Linked DNA regions of Mus musculus. The protein of the gene in region 1 interacts with the protein of each later gene in a biochemical or structural test. Links are inferred from orthologs where the notes say so. Each region holds a gene or a part of one and is shown in the gene's direction. Other genes may lie near its edges.

The links.
Region 2: the proteins of Actg1 (region 1) and Tmsb4x are reported together in a solved structure, tested with the Homo sapiens proteins (2 studies listed by BioGRID, with this or other methods). The link is inferred for Mus musculus from reciprocal best matches to the Homo sapiens genes ACTG1 and TMSB4X.

Annotation. Positions count from the first base shown.
Region 1 is NC_000077.6:120,342,304-120,352,647, reverse strand, and holds Actg1 (actin, cytoplasmic 2), read left to right. Parts: upstream 1-4,152; 5' UTR 4,153-4,223; intron 4,224-4,550; 5' UTR 4,551-4,556; coding exon 4,557-4,679; intron 4,680-4,772; coding exon 4,773-5,012; intron 5,013-5,111; exon of another isoform or gene 5,112-5,156; intron 5,157-5,234; exon of another isoform or gene 5,235-5,298; coding exon 5,299-5,737; intron 5,738-5,829; coding exon 5,830-6,011; intron 6,012-6,114; coding exon 6,115-6,258; 3' UTR 6,259-6,961; downstream 6,962-10,344. UniProt on the Homo sapiens protein: Actins are highly conserved proteins that are involved in various types of cell motility and are ubiquitously expressed in all eukaryotic cells.
Region 2 is NC_000086.7:167,203,300-167,213,643, reverse strand, and holds Tmsb4x (thymosin beta-4), read left to right. Parts: upstream 1-4,425; 5' UTR 4,426-4,538; intron 4,539-5,592; 5' UTR 5,593-5,607; coding exon 5,608-5,707; intron 5,708-6,108; coding exon 6,109-6,143; 3' UTR 6,144-6,550; downstream 6,551-10,344.

The DNA of each region.
Region 1 (10,344 bases):
GCACACTGTAGCTGTACAGATGGTTGTGAGCCTTCATGTGGTTGTTGGGAATTGATTTTTAGGACCTCTGCTTGCTCCGGTCAGCCCTGTGCATTCAGGCTCAAAGATTTATTTATTTTTTGGGTTTTTTTTTTTTGAGACAGGGTTTCTCTGTATAGCCCTGGCTGTCCTAGAACTCACTCTGTAGACCAGGCTGGCCTCGAACTCAGAAATCCACCTGCCTCTGCCTCTTGAGTGCTGGGATAAAGGTGTGTGCCACCACACCCGGCCCAAAGATTTATTATAAATAAGTACACTATAGCTGTCTTCAGCCGCACCAGAAGAGAGCGTCAGATCTCATTACGGGTGGTTGTGAGCCACCATGTGGTTGCTGGGATTTGAACTCAACACCGTTGGAAGAGCAGTCAGTGCTCTTACCTGCTGAGCCATCTCACCAGCCCACGATGGAGTTTCTGTGGCTAGCTACTCAGTGGGTATAAACAGAAGCCTCCAGTCCATGGGCCTGGGGGTGGGGGCAGTCAGTGGCAGAGGTGGAACCCAGTCAGTGACACCAAGGTGCGCAGAGCATGGATGGAACAGATCAGAAACCTGACTGGGGTGGCCAGCCTGCTAAAATGAAAGCTGAACTGGAAGCAGGTACAGACAAGCGGGGCTGGTCAGAGGACTAGAGGTGGCTGCAGGATCTGCCTCTTGTTGTGCAGAAAGTGGGTAAGAGCTGCAAGGGGGCTATCAGCTTTAGGAGGTGCATGTCTCTCAGGAGGAGGCAGCCAGCCCTTGGACACACTTTCTCAGACCACTTACCACATCCACATCTCACCACAGCAGTGAGGAACAGATGGTCCCTGGGTGCTGGAGCGGCTTAGTGGGCATAACAGGGAGCAAGGTCCTGAGAGAAGAGCTTTCTCTTTTTTGAGACAGTTTTCTCTATGTAGCCCAGGCTGTTCTGGAAGTCACTGTGTACACCAGGTGAGCTTTGAACTCACAAGAGATCTGCCTGCCTCTGCTGCTAGAGTAATGATTCAAAGGTGTGGGCCACCACACCCAGCCGAGGTGGAGCGAATCTTTGAGATCAGGCCAAGGCCTAGGCAGGCAGGCCTGCCTAGTCAGCCTCAGGTCTGACACAGGTGCACTAAGTGGCTGGGCACACCTCGGAGCAGCTGGGAACCTCCTCCAGCCGGGCAGATGCCCTTCCTAAGGGTGGGTGGGGAGGCTCTGTTTGTTGGCCAACACACTTTGTTTCATGTGTGCAGACCCTTGACCTTCATGGTTGTAATGTGTCCTGGCTTCTGCCACCCGAGGCTGGCTCAGACTCACCCTCGGTTTACTGCCTCCCTTCCAGTGGAAAGGCCAGACCTGTACCTCTCGGCACAGACAAGATGTCCCCACCTGCATGTGATGTGTCTGCAAAGGCCTAGACAGGAACGTGGACTCCAGTTATTTAGACGTTGAGCTCCTCAGACTTTTACAGTTCCCTTTTTATTCTGGGCTTTTAGGTTTACTTAAAAGTTTCAAAGACATCAGAGGAGTTCACTCATTACACTGTAACGTCAGCTCCCTTACTGAGGGTAACCTTGGCATACATTCCAAACCTGGCCTGATGCTCCCGGCCTTTTCACTCTCTTCTGTTCTAAGGTTAGGTTGACACCCCTGAGGGCAGGAACAGTGGAGACCATGTTTCTCGTTCCCGTTGCCTAACAAGGAGAAAGTGAGTATGAAGTGCCTTGGTGGGCGGAGCCTTGCTGGAGGATCCAGGTACCAAGCACAGAGGTGACCGGACTCTCCGGGGAATCCAAAGTGGCCGCAGGGAGAAGGAAGTGACAGGTTGCAGTGACCACCTGGGAGGGTGTCGGATGGAGCCAGCCTGCAGTAAATCTCCCCAACTCTTCAACTGCTGCATTAATCCACCGGAATATGAAATAAGATGCAACAACGTCACAATAAAAGCCGACCAAAGCCAGCAAAGGAAAAATGTTTTTTATCATTTCTCTAGACTGAGTCTTTCTTTACAACGGAGACACGCCCACTTCTGGCAGCCCTGCAATCGTGAGCCTGCAGCCCTGGCCTGCAGGCTCACGGAAGCCAGGCATTCTCAATTCCTGCTCCAAGTGGGGTGGGGCCGCCAACTTCCACAGCAGGCAAGAACAGCCCGGACCTGACCTTGGGCGAGGCCTCCCTCACACTGCCCAGTTGCAAAACTGACAAATCACAGCGCCTCCTTCTCGTGCACCGCGTTAGGAGGCCGGGCTGCGGCTCCGCTCCGGCGGGGCTGGGGCTACCCCTCCCCCGCGTCCCCAGGGAGGGCTGCGTCTCGGATCCCAAGCGCACAGGCGAGGGTCTCCGCGCGCACCGGCCGGAACCGCCTTTGTCCTGCGGGCCAATGGGTAGCCTGCTTGACTAAATAAGGCGAGGAGCGCGGCCCGGCGCCCCGTCCGTTACGTCCGCCCCCGTGACTCAGGGCGGCCACTGGCCTCCCGGCGGCGGGCGGAGCGCGGGTCGAAATCGCCAAATATGGCCGCGCGCCGCCCGCCGCCCCTGCCCCCACCCGCACACCTGAGTTGCACCTTGGTCCCGCGGCGGGACAAGGCGCCCCCGCCGGGGGAACCCGGCCTTACATGGCCGTTCCGTGCTCGCAGCGCCTTCTGCACACAAGCAGACAAAGGCGTCTTAAGAGAAGGCTCGGATTTGAGGGCCAGGCCCCCGGCAGTACTTCTTGGGTAGCCATGGGCGTGTCAGAGGTGTGAGTGCTCACCGAAACCTTCCACTTTCCCCACGACTCTCACCCCCACCTACAAGTGTTAGTTAGCTGTTAGCTCCTGTAGGCTCATGGTGGGGTCCTGGAGGTCCAGCCCTGCATCCCCCTCATGGGTGGTGCTCCCATTTGACAGGCACCTCTGTACAACCACAGGGCCAGCGCCCTTCTTTCTAGGCCTGATGTTGCACAAAAGGTGACTGAGTGTTGGCACGGGTTTATGGCCAGCAGGTAAGCAGGGCAGGCTGCTTGGTCCCCCTGGGTCTTGTGTTCATGTCTCAGATGGGGAGCTGACCTTGCAGGGCTGCCTGAGAGCGCCTGTGCATAGGGTGGGAGTGGCACCCCGTACCTGCTCGAATCAAGCTCTGTGCCCTGTGACCTTGGAGTCCCTCACCTCACTGCTACCCTCCGCTTCATTCCACAATGAACCATTCCAGAAGCTTACAAATAAAACCCGGTTAACTCCCGTGCCAGCTTTCTCTTCAGGCACCATCTAGGACGGCAGCGCCACGACCCTGCTAAGGGTGACAAGTTTCCAAACAGCCGGGAGAAGGGCAGCGAGGCCGGCCCGCCCCCCACGCCTGTCCGGAGGGGACTAAGGCCTAAGCATTCTGTGCCCAAAACCAGTTTGACCCGGACTTCATAATCAGTGGAGAGGAGTCTCGCCAGCTGACCCACGCGGGGGGCGGGGCTGGACCATCCTGAAAGTCGGGAGACTTCCCCTGCCTCAGTTTCCCTACAATGTGTCCCGCAAAGCCAGCATAACACAATGCCCACTCACACCACCACCACCACCTTCTTTGATGCCCAGGGACACCCAACCCCGTGACGACCCCTCCTCCAATAAAGGGACATGGCTGAAGTGGAAGAACTGGTGACCCTCTCCCACGTGACTGGGATGTGATGGCCGCTCCCCGGACCCCCGGGAATCCCTCCAGCCCGTCCCCAGCCAGGCACACACGGACCCTGTAGAGAAAGGTCCTGGGGGGTGTGCGGGGCACAGGATTCACATAGGGGCGGGGGCCACGGGACTCACCCCAGATCGGGGCGCGGCCCGCCCCGGGCTTGGCAGTTTCGGGGCGCAGCCCGGGCCCTCCCTGCTACGCGGCAGTCCCGGGGCAGGGCAGGGCCGATCGCACGCACGCCACTCGCCGAGACCCCCGCGAGCAAGAACCGGGCCTCCCGGGGTCGCGAGCGCGCGGGGGCGGCGCGGGCGGGGCCGTTGGCGGCGGCGCGGGCCAGGGGCGGGCGGGCCCGGGCCCCACGTGTCCCTGGCGGGCGGGCCAATAGGCGCCCGGCTTTTGGAAAGATCGCCATATATGGACATGTTCTGGGGCCGCGCGCGCCCCCGCCCGCGCGCGCGGCCCGCTCCCGCTTAAATAGCGGCGGGGGAGGCCGCGGTCGGTCTCACACTCCGCCGCCGGCTTACACTGCGCTTCTTGCCGCTCCTCCGTCGCCGCCGCGTCCTTCGCCGGTAAGCTGCCGCTCCCCGGGCTTGGCCCAGTGACTTCCTGTGGCCCTTTCTTCCCGCTCACCCTGCCTGCCGCACCGCTGCGGAGCGGAGCGGAGCGCAGGGCGCCTGACGGGTGGGCCTGGGTCTGCAGCCGCGGCTGGGGGCAGGGCGGGGCCCGACGCAATGCGCAGCCCCTCCTCGCCGCGGCGGAACGGGGCGCTGCCGGTAGCCGACGGTTACGCCGCCCGGGGTGGGGACTGCACTCCTCCGGGGTGGCTCGGCCCTGGCCGAGGACATTTTCTGAGTTCGGTGAGGGCTGCGCTAATTCCGGGGCTTCTTCCTGCGCAGATCGCAATGGAAGAAGAAATCGCCGCACTCGTCATTGACAATGGCTCCGGCATGTGCAAAGCCGGCTTTGCTGGCGACGACGCCCCCAGGGCCGTGTTCCCTTCCATCGTAGGGCGCCCCCGACACCAGGTTAGTTGAGAGGAGTGGCCTCCCTTGTGTTCTCTCTGGGCCCGGGTCGCGCGGTGGGTGGGGCGAGTCTGACCGCGGCCTTTTCTCTCGCAGGGCGTCATGGTGGGCATGGGCCAGAAAGACTCATACGTGGGTGACGAGGCCCAGAGCAAGAGGGGTATCCTGACCCTGAAGTACCCTATCGAACACGGCATTGTCACTAACTGGGACGACATGGAGAAGATCTGGCACCACACCTTCTACAATGAGCTGCGTGTGGCTCCTGAGGAGCACCCGGTGCTTCTGACCGAGGCCCCCCTGAACCCCAAAGCTAACAGAGAGAAGATGACGCAGGTATGCTTGAGCCGGGACCTTGCCTCCCCTTGGGCGTGACGAGTCATTTTGTGTTGTGCCTCATTTCCTGACATTCAAGCGTTTCTTTGGTGTTTCTAGGGTTCTGTTCCTCTTCTCCTGGCATTTCCTCCCTGAAGCCTCCAGGTTTCTGTTTGCGTTTCTGCTTGCGTTCTGTTCTTTTTTTCTTCACACATCACATTTGTGGCATGCAGCATGCAGAGTGTGGGTGTGGGAGGCTCAGGGCCCCTGCTACTCACTCACTCAGGTGTTCTTTGTCTTTCCACAGATAATGTTTGAAACCTTCAATACCCCAGCCATGTACGTGGCCATTCAGGCGGTGCTGTCCTTGTATGCATCTGGGCGCACCACTGGCATTGTCATGGACTCTGGTGACGGGGTCACACACACAGTGCCCATCTATGAGGGCTACGCCCTTCCCCACGCCATCTTGCGTCTGGACCTGGCTGGCCGGGACCTGACAGACTACCTCATGAAGATCCTGACTGAACGGGGCTACAGCTTTACCACCACTGCTGAGAGGGAAATTGTTCGTGACATAAAGGAGAAGCTGTGCTATGTTGCCCTGGATTTTGAGCAAGAAATGGCTACTGCTGCATCATCTTCCTCCTTGGAGAAGAGTTACGAGCTGCCCGACGGGCAGGTGATCACCATTGGCAATGAGCGGTTCCGGTGTCCGGAGGCACTCTTCCAGCCTTCCTTCCTGGGTAGGTGTCCACAACATGATTTAGGAGCCAAGGGGCTCTCAGAAGGGATGGAACACACAGAATGTAGTGGCTAAATGAGCTCTGTTCCCTAGGCATGGAGTCCTGTGGTATCCATGAGACCACTTTCAACTCCATCATGAAGTGTGATGTGGATATCCGCAAAGACCTGTATGCCAATACAGTGCTGTCTGGTGGTACCACCATGTACCCAGGCATTGCTGACAGGATGCAGAAGGAGATCACAGCCCTAGCACCTAGCACGATGAAGATTAAGGTGAGTGGCTACCACCCGGCCTGAGCTGGCCTTAGGACCTGTGGCTGGGAAGTGGGACCCACAGGAAGGGCATGAGTGCTCATTCAGTGTTTTTCCTCCACAGATCATTGCTCCCCCTGAGCGCAAGTACTCAGTCTGGATCGGTGGCTCCATTCTGGCCTCACTGTCCACCTTCCAGCAGATGTGGATCAGCAAGCAGGAGTATGATGAGTCAGGCCCCTCCATCGTCCACCGCAAATGCTTCTAGATGGACTGAGCAGGTGCCAGGCATCTGCTGCATGAGCTGATATTGAAGTATCAATTTGCCCTGGCAAATGTACACACCTCATGCTAGCCTCATGAAACTGGAATAAGCCTTTGAAAAGAAATTTGTCCTTGAAGCTTGTATCTGATATCAGCACTGGATCGTAGAACTTGTTGCTGATTTTTGACCTTGTATTCAAGTTAACTGCTCCCTTGGTATATGTTTAATACCCTGTGCATATCTTGATTTAGTCCTTAGTTCATGTGGCTCGGTCACTTGGGGGCTGGGGAGAGCACGCTGTAGATGAGAAAGCCCCAGCCTGGTGGATCTCTGTGAGCACCACTGAGTGATCTGTGCAGGGTATTAACCAACAGCAGACTTCCAGGATTTCCTGAGGCTGGCAAGGGTTCCTGAACCAGTTACCACTCCTTCTTGCCAGTCTAACAGGGTGGGAAAGTCCGAGCCTTAGGACCCAGTTTCAGTTCTGGTTTCTTCCCTCCTGACCACCATCGGTTGTTAGTTGCCTTGAGTTGGGAACGTTTGCATCGACACCTGTAAATGTATTCATTCTTTAATTTATGTAAGGTTTTTTGTACTCAATTCTTTAAGAAATGACAAATTTTGGTTTTCTACTGTTCAATGAGAACATTAGGCCCCAGCAACACGTCATTGTGTAAAGAAATAAAAGTGCTGCAGTAACTGACCATTGTTTTTCTGGTTTGGCACAGGGCTGTGGGGTAGGGTGGAGTTGGGAAATGGAAAGGTGTGTCTGGTTGCCTAGCAGCAGAAAGCCTTCCCATTGGTAAGAAAGCCTGTACCCCAGCTTAAAGCCAGCCATGCTTGGAGCAGATTGTTCACTCCCTGCCACATTCTCAAAGGGTAAGGAATTAGGCCAGACAGGCAGCCACAATGAAGGGCCTCACACAGAAGCATTGGTGAGGAGAGCAGGCAGCTCTGGTGTTATCAAGTCATGAACAAGTAAGGAATGTAGCCATGGTCAAAAGAGAAGTAACCTAGATGTCTTAACAATTGCAGCCTTTAAGAGGCCATGCAACATTATTCCTCTATACAGGAATGAAGCTTAGCCACATAGACAACCTGGTAAGACTGGTTATCCAAAGGTGGTGCTGTCAGCACAGGGTTAGGGTTTGGCTGCTCAATGGGAACAGTCTAGGGTGATGAGGCTCTGGAATTAGGGCTAGAGATGCATTTCAATAGATGTTGGAGCTGAGTGCTTGCCAGGCCCTAGGTTGAGTTCCAGGAACCACCTGAATTGAGCATGCTGGCATGCCCGTTAGCAACTCAAGTGGAGGTGACAGGATCAGGAATTAAAAAGTCTTTTAGATTTATTTATATGTAAGTACACTGTAGCTGTCTTCAGACACTCCAGAAGAGGGAGTCAGATCTCCTTATGGATAGTTGTGAGCCACCATGTGGTTGCTGGGATTTGAACTCCGGACCTTCGGAAGACTGCTCTTCCGAAGGGTGCTCTTACCCGCTGAGCCATCTCTCCAGCCCCTCAAAAGTCATTTTTATATATGCAGTGAATTCAGCCAGGCCTCCCTGAGACCCTGTTTGTTTGTTTGTTCGTTTGTTTTTTGTTTTTTTAAAGTGGATGGGGGTTGGTGGGACTGGAGAGTGGTTAAGAGTAGAGAACCTAGTTCTCAGTACCTGTAACTCTAGTTCCAGGGCACCCCATGCCCTTTTCTGGCTTCTGGGCTCCTGCAAGAACTGTTGCATATAAATCGTTGCATATAAATTCATCTAGGCAAACACACATTAACAAAATAATTTTAGCCAGGCAGTGGTGGCGCATGCCTTTAATCCCAATACTTGGGAGGCAGAGGCTGAGTTCAAGGCCAGCCTGTTCTACAGAGTGAGTTCCAGGACAGCTAACAGTTATACAGAGAAATCCTGTGAATAAATAAAAACAACCCCAAAATAATTTTAAAACATTTTAAAAACTGAGTGTGATTGCACTGGGAAGGTAGGGGCAGGTGGATCTCTTGAGTTTGAGGCCAACCTGGTCTACAGAGTAAACTCCAGGCCAGCTAGGGCTACAAAGTGAGACCCTGTCTAAACAAAATAACCCCCCTCACACATACATACACACAATAAGCCAGGCAGTGGTGCACACCTTTAATCCCAGCCCTCTGGGGGCAGGGGGAGGTGGATCTCTCTGAGTTGGAGGCCAGCCCCTGGTCAACAGAGTTCCAGGACAGCCAGGGCTACAGGGAAAGACCTGTCCTGGAAATAAATACATTTAAAGATACAGCATTACAGACAAAAAGAGTCTAGACAGCTAAGTAGCAACATGAAGAGATACTGAGGCCCCAGCCCCAGAAGCTAAGACTCCTACCTTCAACACCAACCCTAGTTCACACTATGTTGCTTCTGGGAGCCCAGCTTGGCCGAAGGTCCCTGGCCTGTGATGAGAGACAACCTTGGCCACTGGAACTCACCTTGGACTATCTGCCTGATGGTGACTAGATCGGCTTGGGCCGCTGGAATGTCTTGGACAGAATAGGGCACCTGAGGAGGAAGGTAGGGCAAAGTATAATATAGATAGACAGAGGATGGACGGACAGACAGGCAGGCAGATAAAACTGGATGGACTGGAACCTCTGAAGTGGACTCTATATCTGACAATCCAGAAAATGAAATGCCTTTCCCGGCCTGGAGCACTGGCCTTGGTGATGCCCCTGCTCCATCCCCAGCCAGCCCTCACTGCCTGCTGGTTTCTGATGTAGATCTTTCCTGCCAGCTCCAGACTACCTAAAAGTTAATCAGCCAGTCTGTCTCCTTAGATTCATAGAGACCCAGGTCTGGTGTCACCATCACACCTGGCACAAAGTCAGCCTTGAATATACATTTGTAAGATGACAGAACATGGTCACACCAAACAGTTTTAATTTACTTAGTTTTATTTGGCAAGAGCATACTACTAGCTCATCAGAGATCGTTAAGTGCTCCTTAAAGAGGTGATCAGGCTCAGGCTTGGAATAGGGTGACTCAGTATTCTAACCCTTCACCAATGCCAATGCACCAGTGCTCATTCTAGCCCGAGCCTGACCTGGTTTTGGTTTTCTTTTTTCTTCTTTCTTTTTTTTTTAAATGTTCTCTCTCTACTTATCTCTATCATCTCTATCTATCTATCTATCTATCTATCTATCTATCTATCTATCTATCTATCTATCTTTGCTGTTTGTTTTCGAGGCAGGGTTTCTCTGTGTAGCCCTGGCTGTCCCGGAACTCACTCTGTAGACCAGGTTGGCCTCAAACTCAAAGATCCGCCTGCCTCTACCTCCCTAGTGCTGAGGGTAAAGGCTGCCCAGCATAAAAACCAGGGTTATATTGGTCAGAACAAAGTGAAAGGAAAAAAATGTTTGAGATTGGGGGAGTAATATTTGAGCTGTGGGGGATTGTTTTGCTGTTTGTTTCTTGGGACAGGATCTCACTGCAGCCCAGCTGGTCTCAAACTTAACCACTTTTAGTGTGCAGCCCACGCTGGGCTTGAACCGAGTCCTCTTGCCTTAGTTCCCCTTCTCACTGGGACTCACAGGCTGCAGCACCAGGCCAGTCTGTCTCATGTGTGCGTGTGAGAGATGCATCCAGAACATTCACAAGCCAGAGGCTGACATTTCTTCATCCCTCTACCCTTTTTTTTTTAGATTTATTTATTTTATGTATGTGAGTACACTGTCTGTCTTCAGACACACCAGAAGAGGGTGTCAGATCCCATTACCGATGGTTGTGAGCCACCATGTGGTTGCTGGGAATTGAACTCAGGACCTTTGGAAGAACAGTCAGTGTTCTTAACCACTAAGCCATCTCTCCAGCCCTCTACCCCTTATTTTAATTTATGACTTTTTTTTTTTTTTGTTTTTTGTTTTTTTGAGACAGGGTTTCTCTGTAAAGCCCTGGCTGTCCTGGAACTCACTCTGTAGACCAGGCTGACCTCGAACTCAGAAATCCTCCTGCCTCTGCCTCCCAAGTGCTGGGATCAAAGGCGTGCGCCACCACCGCCCGGCCTAATTTATGACTTCTTTTTTTTTTTTTTTTTTTTTTAAAGATTAATTTATTTATTAC
Region 2 (10,344 bases), on another chromosome or scaffold:
GGTTCTCTGGCGCACCCTCTCACCTGTTCAGACTAATTTCCTAAGTTCGGCGGGTCCCGGACCAAGATGGCGACCGCTGCTGCTGTGGCTTAGGCCGCCTCCCCAGCCGGGTGGGCACCTGTCCTCTGGTCCGGAAGGTGGCCGGCTGTCCCCGGCCCACGCAGGGTGCTGCCTCAGCGCCTCTGTGCTTCCGCCTGTTCCAGAAGCTGTCAGGTTCTCTGGCGCACCCTCTCACCTGTTCAGACTAATTTCCTAAGTTCGGTGGGTCCCGGACCAAGATCCAAACTCTGCATTTCAATGAGGCCATTTCTAAGGTAACTGCTCTGAGTCCCAACCACATCACTGGGGTTTCTGTATGATCTTGGCTTAGTGGGTTTGTTAATTTCTCTATAATTCCCTCATCTACAAAGTGAGGGAAATAGCGGGCCTCCTTATCAGGTCTTCTGGGATACTGCAGGGAGAGCTCCCAGGATACAGCAGAAAGTCAGAAAATGCTGGCTCTTACCACCGCTCTTATTATGACCATGCTCGCAAGCAGTATTATTCTTCAGCCTGTTACCTTCCTTCCTTTCAACAACATTTCCTGCCACTCTCTTTCCTCCCATGCAAGTCCCTTGCCAAACTCACTGCCCTCTGCAAGACTCAAAGATTCTGTTTAAACCGGCTCTCCTAGCTGGGAGGCCGAGTAACCACTTGGAGGGGATGTTGTAGAGGCAAACTCAAGCTGCAGAAATTCCTTCAGATCAAGAAGAGGACAGGGCAATTAGCAATGCTGCACATGCACGGGGCAGGGCGCGGGGAGCTCTTGATTTTGTTTGTGCTTGCCGGTTTTCCTCCACTCATTTTTCTCACACTGGCGGGGGGTGAGGGGGGAGCCCTTTGTTTTACTGTACTGGAGCCACAACGTGGAGCTGCCATGGGTGAGAACTCTAGAGAATGCTGGAAAAAGGTCTCTTCAGTGAACCTAGTGGCAGGAGTCGAAGGAAGGAGATAGACTTTTAATAGGATGTTTGCTTTAGAGAAAGTTGCTTAAATTTTATGAGCCTCAGTTTCTTTCGTAGTAAAATGAGGAAGTCTGTATCCAGTGCATAGAGGATGAGAACTGAATCCTAGTCTATATGCAAAGGCTTCAGGGACGTACAAAATCCCTCCTTTGTCCTTTTCATCTTCTGTTACCTAGGGACTCCTGGCTGTTCACAGGGATTTAGCTTCTCCCGGGTACAAGGGGGCGGGGTCAACTGTAAGGAAGCGTCAGAAGGAAAGGTGGCAATTGTAGGAGCCCCCAGGGGAGTGTGGGCTGCAGGCAGGTGGGGCAGATGGTAGGAGGCCCTGAACTCAGACAAAAAGAGCTGGGTTTGAACAAGCAAAGAGCTGACAGCCCTGCCCTGCCATGTCCCTGGCTCCTCCTCTTTTTCCTTCTGATTAGTATTCCGGCCAAAACTAAAAAAGTTTCAGATCATAGGACTCATTTTCATAAGCTCAGACTTCTATGGGCTGTCGCTCCATCATTGGAAATGCACACAATTTTGGCCTAGGCCCACACTGGAAAGCAAAAGAAAACAAAGTGCCAGCTCGCGCCACTTCCTGGATCCCTGAGGCATGAGCTTCCACAGGGAGGGGCAACTTCGTTGGCTTGTTTCTCACAGGGTGCCATGACCTGTGAGCTGAGAGAGGCAGAGTGCTTGTGAGGTGGACTCTTTGCTTGCCTTTCACTGGAAGGCCCCAGAGAACAGAATCCACCATGCAGCTGAAGGGACCAGGGCCTCTGGAAGCTATTATTATTATTATTATTATTATTATTATTATTATTATTATTATTGTATCTTCACATCTTTGTCTTTGTCCCTTTAATTGGAATTGAAAACTCTCACCTCAGTGGTTATTGTGCCCAGTATATGCTAATCTTCTTCTAAATGCTTCCTTCCCTGAAGCAGCAGTTATCCCTGACATCTGGAATATTAATGCTAAGTAGATTCAACTGTCTGAGATGGAAACCGGTTATTCAAGTCATCTGTTAAGGAACTGACTTCAAGTACTGAGAATCAACTGAAGCAGTGTGATGATGGTTAATTGAGCAAATACTATCTTCTAGGTGTCAAGAAACAGGCTGGTTTAGTAGCATCCTCTTGCCTCTACCTCCTGGGTGCTGGCATTTCAGGCGAGTCATGCCAGGCCTGTTTTATGTCACACTAGAGATTGAACCTAGGGCTTGGTGCAGTCTAGGCAAATGCTCTGCCAAATGAGTTATTTTTATTTGCAAAAAAAAAAAAAAAACCCACAAAATATCTAATTTTCACTGGTAATTTATTAGATAAATGATATCGTCAAGTATTAGTTATGCAGAAATATGTAATGAAATATATACATTTCCCTTTATAAGAGATGAAATGCCAAATTACTTGAGGTTTTTGTTAATGGCAAACAAGAACACATTTATTCTTTTCTTCTCAACTTTCTATTTTAAATAAGAAGAGAACACAGTGCTCGCCATTGTCCCAAGAACTTGATCTTCCCACAACTCCTACAGTTCCTTATCACCACTTGTCCACTTTACAGAGAAGAGTTAAGAGAAGAATGATCGACAGGAGGACCCGGACACTTTTAAGACAAACCCTCTTATTTGCATTTCATTTTATCCGGATCACCCTTTCTTTTCTATTTTTCTGCCCAGTGGGCAAGGGAAGCCCGTTTACAGAGGACTCAGTTCCCAGGGCAAGTTGCTTCCTCTCTTACAGGCTGCCTGCTCTTTTTCAGTCAGCAGCTAAAATAATCTGCCTGCTACGCTGTTACGAAAGTAGAAAATTCTAGATGTTTACAGATTCCACTCTTCAGTCTCCTCTGGCCGCATAACTTCTGTAAGGGCTAATCTTTCCTAAGGCAAACAGGCAACCAGGGTCAAGGCGATAGCATTCCTTTGTCATAGGAAGACACGTACACGGTGACAGCTGAGTGAAGGAAGGGACACTGGAATCCAATGACCCACCGAAATGGTGTCAGTGTAACTGCAGCTGCCAAGCAGAAGTCAGAAATGCACCCTGCAAGATGTGTTCTGTGTTTCAACAATGCAGTGAACTCCCTCCAAGTGGACATGGGGAGAGAGAGGATGTGTTACCAGAGAAGTGACATCTAATGCGCGCTCAAACAGGTCTAGGGCCCCATCCAAAGGGCAGAAAGGCAGTCTCCCAAGTAGAGCATTAACTGGGGAACCACATGGGTCACCTGCTCCTCCCTACCCCCATCTCCTTCCTCCCAAGTAAAAGGGAAGTAGATGAAGAAATGGGGAAGTCCAAGCTGCTCCAGCAGCGGCAGTTTAGGGTCCCTAATAACACTTGACATTACCAGAGAGGCAAAGCCTCTGCCATAAAAATGCTTAGCAAAGGCTTTCTGGAAACATCCCTCCAGGGCACAGAAAAGGAGAAGGAATGTTTTATAGTTCTCTGTGTCTCAGATATAATCCCAGCGATGCCCTTTTAAAAATATCCTACGGAGCTACCTCCAACCACCTGCCACTTGCAGGCACAAGCTTGGTATCTGTAATTACTTTTTAGTAGCAAGTGGGTCCCTGCGACTTACGGACTCAGGTGCCATTTTGAAACCGGCACATCTCTACCTGAATCGTCCACATGTGTTGCAGGGAAAACCTTCCCTTCAAAAGCTAGTTCGCGCTTCAGCTTCAATCCTCAGATAATAGAGCTGATGGACTTGTGGTCTTTGGGAATCCTTGGCTCCCATTAGCAATCACTTTTAATTGATGAAAATAAGAAAAGGAAAATGAACTTCCTTATTGTCAGTCAGTAACAGAAGTTGACTTTGACTTAATTTTGAAGGGGCCGGCTGTGTTCTCTCTGAAGCCCCCTTACACCTAGCAAATGTTAGGCACTTGACTCGATTGCTCACGGAAATTATAGCAAACAATACAAATGCTGCGGCGCTAAAACTTTTCTTTTAAAAATCCACTCAAGGATCCTTTATCGCCCTCTCAAATCAAGGGGGAGACAAGCGAGGGAGACAAAGAGGGCCGGGTGGGGCTGTCCACTGGTCTGAAAGCTGAGTCATTGGAATCAGACCCCAGCAGCTCTTGTATGAGGGACACCTCACCCTATCTTGGGGGCGTTGGCTGCAGACAAAGCCGGTTTCAAAGTAAAGAAAAGCCTGTCCCCTTAGGTGCCACTCAGGCCATTAGTTATCACGCATTGAACCTTAAGAACAGGTTTGGGCGGCTGCTGCAAAAGTTCATGATAATAAAATAGACGTCAAATGGGGGGGAAAGCATTTTGAAGGCGTTTGTTCCTTTTCTAGTTCCGCCATCGATGTGGTTCAAAGGCGCTGGTGAATGGGGATGTGGGGGTTGGGAGGGGGTCTGACAGCCTCCGAACGCCCTTCCGGAGATGCGGCGCGAAGGAGTTAAGCCGGACTACGAGTGACATCACCTCATTTGCATAGAAGCACACATAAAGCGGCGTTCGCCGCGCCCCTCCCGACAATCCGCAGCGGCTTCTGAGCAGATCAGACTCTCCTCGTTCGCGCAGCTCGCTCGGGTGAGCCCCAGGGCCCCTTCCTTCTGTCCTTCCCTGCCTGTCCAGCGCAGGCACTTGCCCCTCATCCTCCTCGTCCTTAAAGCCAAGTCCAAGGCATGGTAGTTTCGGGGAATTGGGGGGGGGGGATGCTAAACTCTTCCAGATGCCGAGTAACGGGAAGGGGAACTTGATTAAGAAAGAGAAAACCCCATAAAATTGGGCATTCTGTTGCGCAGCTTAGAGGGGAATTGTTTTTTTTTTCTCCTCGACCCTCTCTCCGAAATATTTTCCCTTGCCTAGCTAGCTGTAATTAATCAGAATTAGAAAGATCCTTTGTTCAAACGCTCTGTGCTCCCCTTAATCGCCTAATGGCTTCGAGGGCTGTTATCTGTGGCGGGTTTAACCTTCCCGGCCTTTAGCGTGAAAATTCGGAAGCCCTTGCAGACGAATGTATGCAAAGGCCGTCAAAAGGCCCCTGTATGCAGATCAAGATGCTTTTGCGAGAAGTGGGGAGGCAGTTTTGTGTGCCAAGGCAGCATTGTTGGACTAGAGAGAGGAGAGGAAGCGAGTAGGGCGGTGGTCGGCAGCTGGCGGCGTCAGCTCCCCCGCCTTTGTGAGGAGGAGAAAGCTGGACCGCCTGGCATCTTTTGGAGAGCAAGCCCTTCTAGAAAACGGAGATGCGTATTGCGACCTTGGCTCCTTTTTAAGAGATTTTACTAGACTTTCCCCCACTTAAACTGGAAATGGCTTCGATCTATCCAGACTTTAATTTTTTCAAAGCTGCAATGTTAACATTCCGCAATGGTGAATTTTATTATACGGGAATACTCACCTTTGACTATTTCCACCTTCGTTCTTTGAATCTTCCCTTTGGGAATATTAAGGGGGAAGATTTTTTTCCTATAGAAAGAGGAAGATCTTTAGAGAGGACTCGACAAGGAAAGCACACAGAGGGAGAGGCAGTAGGATTTCAGGCTTTGGGCTTTCCGGCGGGGTGGGGGTGTGCTTTTGGAACTGGGAGAGGCGAGGGTGGGTGGCTCTTTCTTAGCTCTGGTCTTGGCTTTTGTACCTGCAGCTCCTTCCAGCAACCATGTCTGACAAACCCGATATGGCTGAGATCGAGAAATTCGATAAGTCGAAGTTGAAGAAAACAGAAACGCAAGAGAAAAATCCTCTGCCTTCAAAAGAAAGTAAGCTGTTCGCCCCCACCCATTTTCAGAACGGGCTGGGCGGGAGCAGAGCAGAGCGGGGAGCAGCGGCCGGGAGGAGGAAGGGAGGGGCAGCAGGGAGGATGGGGGGGGGGGCTGCGGGGGAGGAGTCGACAGTTTGATGATGATGAATATGGCCTGCAAAGGTTAATTAAAAACTGTTTTGCAGTCAACAAGCGCCGGGCTCTAGTGATTTAATAATGGAATATTTCATATTCCATATTGTGCATATACATTTATTGGGTAACTGTACTTCTGTTTAGCATGTCTTGCTTAGCGAGGCTGCTATGTGTCTTTCTAGAATTTTTATAGGGTTTTTAAATGGAAATCATGTCATTTTATAGAATGCTCTAAGTCTCCTTTTTTTTTTCTTTTCTTCACAGCAATTGAACAAGAGAAGCAAGCTGGCGAATCGTAATGAGGCGAGCGCCGCCAATATGCACTGTACATTCCACGAGCATTGCCTTCTTATTTTACTTCTTTTAGCTGTTTAACTTTGTAAGATGCAAAGAGGTTGGATCAAGTTTAAATGACTGTGCTGCCCCTTTCACATCAAAGAATCAGAACTACTGAGCAGGAAGGCCTCCCCTGCCTCTCCCACCCATCTGATGGTCTGGCTAGCAGAGAGGGAAAAGAACTTGCATGTTGGTGAAGGAAAAAGCTGGGTGGGAGATGATGAAATAGAGAGGAAAATTCAAGATGGTCAAAGATGTCCTGCAGGATGTAAAATGCAGTTTAATCAGAGTGCCATTTTTTTTTGTTCAAACAATTTTAATTATTGGAATGCACAATTTTTTTAATATGCAAATAAAGTTTTAAAACCTGATTGGTGTGTCTGCTTGGTGACTGGAAGGAGTAGTTAAATGAGTGATAAAACCCTTGCAAAACTGCCTTGCCTCTTGGTCACTGGGACATAGAAGAGACAAACGTAAACTGCCTTGGCCTAACAGCTCTGGCTTAGTCCAGGTCTGTGAAATACCCTGTCTATAGCAAATGATTGGGAGGTCATCATAAGAGTTCCTCATGGGTTACATGGAAGAGTTAATGAAAATATTTGAAATTGGTATAGCCACCATGGTTGGAAGAAGGGGGCTGTGGAATGAAGGGGTAGGGGGGAGGAACTCACGTGTAGTTAGAGCCTTTCAGGAGTTTTGGAAAGCCAACATTGAATTTATTACATATCACTCAACGCAAAGGGTGTTGGTTTGGTACACTAGCATTAGGTATCAACATGAACTTGGCTAACCAACTATCTGGTATTGAACAAGTGGAATTTAGGGTAAAAATAGTATTTGCTTTAGAAAGGAATTTAGAATTGGTTTGTCCTTGTCTAGCGGCCAGTTTGCAAATGAAGCTCAATGTTTAAAATCGGCTTTATTAAAGTAAACGTGTTTACCAGTAAGTGATGATCTGAACTTAGTGAAATCCTCATAAGGAATGCTTGAGCTTAGAGGACAAATGCAGGACAGGTGAAATCTGGGCCAGATAACCATCGGCTGACCCGAAGGGCTTGAGTCCTCCTAATCGGCAGTCATCTGAGCTGCATATTTAATTGGCGGGTACACGCAAAGTCCTTGTTCTGGCCAGGCCACAACATGTAGAAAGGGAGGAAAAACGAGCTATCACTTGTTAACAGTAAAATGAAGGTACTTGAAGCTCCTTCATGGATGACTCTGTTCTTTCCGAAGGGTGCAGATCTATTAAGCCAAATAAAGCAATATTTTAAGATCATTAGCTTACACAATATCTCAGCAAGGCTGAAGCATACAAAGCAAATGTCCACAGGAGGAACTTTTCTTCTAAAACTGGGCTTGTGAAAATACTGGCTTGTAGGGTGGGTGGTGGATTACCAAACCCAGTGGATTTCCTTTGCTCAACACTTCCTTTGAGAAATGCACATGAAACCACCTGTGGTTTAGACAATCGAGGAGACCATCAGTGAACAGGCCTTTATCTGCCTGTCAGGGATAGGATGTGTGCATGTGTTGGCCACAGCTCATTCACTCTGCAGAGGAGCCCAAGCAGCCAGCACAAAGGTTCTGGGGGTGGGGGGTGGGGCAGTCCTCTAGCCCTGACATTTCTTTGCTGACCTACAAGGCAGTTTAAAGAAAATGCCCAAACCACAGAGAGAAAACAGACACATGCAATTTTTTGCTGTGTGCATTTTTTAAAGGATCCAAGATGGAAAAAAAATTAGAAAAATTTCACAAAATTCCAGGGTTCCTCAGTTTAAAAAAGGATGGGGGAAAGGAATGGTTTAGACAGGTCCGTGGTGGAAAAGATGGCCTTTCTGTCCCAGGAAGACCAAGACAAAATGTAGTGGGGACAAAAAGGCAGAGTTAAAAATCCAGGCCTGGGGATATAGCTCTATTAGTAAAGTGCTTGCCTAACATGTATGAAACCTGAGGTTTGAGTCTTAGCACTACATTAAACCTGGAGTGGTGGTGGAGGCAGGAAGATCTTTCAAGGCCATCGTCAGCTGCATAGGAGGTTTGGAGCCAGACTTGAGTACAAAGGACCCTCTCTCAAAATAACGAAAATGAAAGAAAATTAGAAATGACCAAATGCTGAGAAATGGGTGCAAAGTCAGGAACAACTGCCCACATCATGAGATATTGGAATTTGACTAAAATGCTACTGGAGTAGAAGAGAGTCCTTTGCTGCTGTTTTGTTATGGTGGTGATGGTGGTGGGGTATTATTACTATTATCATTTTTAAATGCTTTATTTGATGAAGCATTCTGTATTCTTCCTAGGAGAGAATCTTCCAGAAGGGCTGGAGGTATTTAGGAATTCCTGGGGGAATTTATGTTTCTGCTACCTGAGCACTTAAGGTTGCCAGTATTTTCAGAGATGTTGAAGGAGAAAAGAAATGTATCCTTAGTACAAGAGAGAGAATATTTCAACTAGACACACTTGTTACCACATCTTTGACTGGTCTCCTCTCAGAAGGAATGGGCCAAAGGAACTTCTGTACACTGCAGACAAACTGAACCTAGTGGTGCATGCATGTAATCCAGGACTTGGTAGGATAAGACATGAGGATCAACCTAAGTTCCAGGGCATTTTGGGACTCCAGAAAAACTCCTGTCTCTAGAATAAAATGGGATAAAAACCAGTCACAGAGTTTTGAAGTTCTGTAAACTTGGAACCAATCTAGATGAATAAACCAGAACTGGAGAAAAGAAAAGGCTCACTGAAAGACCCGTGGGTTGGAGCTGTTTTCAAAGCTCACCAAATTTTCAACTATTTTAGCTGTGCATATCCCAACCTTCTCGTGGATGGACTTTTAAAGCCACTTTTCAGGAGAACAGCACACTTTTGGTAGTGTGTGCAAAATGATTGAGTAAGTGTGGAGTAGAAGGCATGGGGGCAGGCAAACAGTCTGACATGCGCACAGCCGCTCAGCCTTCCTACACTTCTTCCAGCCCTTGTAGCCACACCTAGGTTTCGTTGCCCATACACGCACTGAAGGTTCTGTTTCTTTCTCCCAGAGAAGCATAATTCCTCAAGACACAAAACTGAGTTTGTTTCTTCTTTCTTTTCCCAACATTTCTAAAAATATGAGTGCTATTCATGCTTACTAGAAAGAATACTGCATTTTGGAAACTGTGTTACAGCCAGAAAATAAATTTTAAAAAAATCGTGAGTCTTCCTTAGCTCAAAATGTACATTTAAAAAGTTTTCAATAATGTAGAGAGCAGGAAATGTTTCCATAGCAGCCGGCATGGGCCTAGTGTGAAAGTGAGAGAAGCAATGTAAGCACTTTCTTTGCTCTCACCCCACTGCGCTCAGTTGTATATTAGGCTTTTAAAAGTTATTTGTAAATTATATCTTCATGAGCAGCTTACAAGATAATCTAACAGAAAGAAACACACCATTTGGGGATCCATCTATACTTTTATTTGTGCATAATGAAAGGGGGCACAATGACAAGCTTAAGAATCAAATGTAGAAAGAACTGAAAACTGCATGCATCAAGTTATATTTCCCTAGGGCATTTGTATAGTCTTCTCTAGCCATGTCGTCTGCTTCCTGCCTTCCTCAATTGTGTGGACGGAGTTGTGCATGCTACCTTCCTTGGGTGTGTATTGAGTATTCTTTCCTGTTTAAAAGTCTCGCACGGTAAGAGAAACATTAATTAGAGCTTTGCTCCTTAATTGGAGACTTCATGCAATGTGCTGACTTAGAAGTACTTTTGAACATGTGATTAATATTCTAGATAGCACTATTATATGTTCGTGCTTTTTTATGAAAAAAATAATCAAGTTTAATTTAGAGAACACTATCAGAATGTATCTGAAAGACTGCATTGGCATCCGAAGAAGAAGGAGAAGAAGGAGAAGAGGAGGAGGAGGAGGAGGAGGAGGAGGAGGAGGAGGAGGAGGAGGAGGAGAAATAAAAGCAACCTGAAAATCATGTTTATTAGAAGACTGGAGAAAAATAATAATGACATTTAGCTTTAAAAATCCTAAGTTTCTTGCAAATCAACTTACTTCAAAGCGGAAGAAAGCTAAGTCATTTTAAATATCATAATACATGTAGGCTTCTTTCATTGAATATCATATACATTTAAAGGGAAAGTTATACAGAATTTCTTTCTTTTTCTTTTCTTCCTTC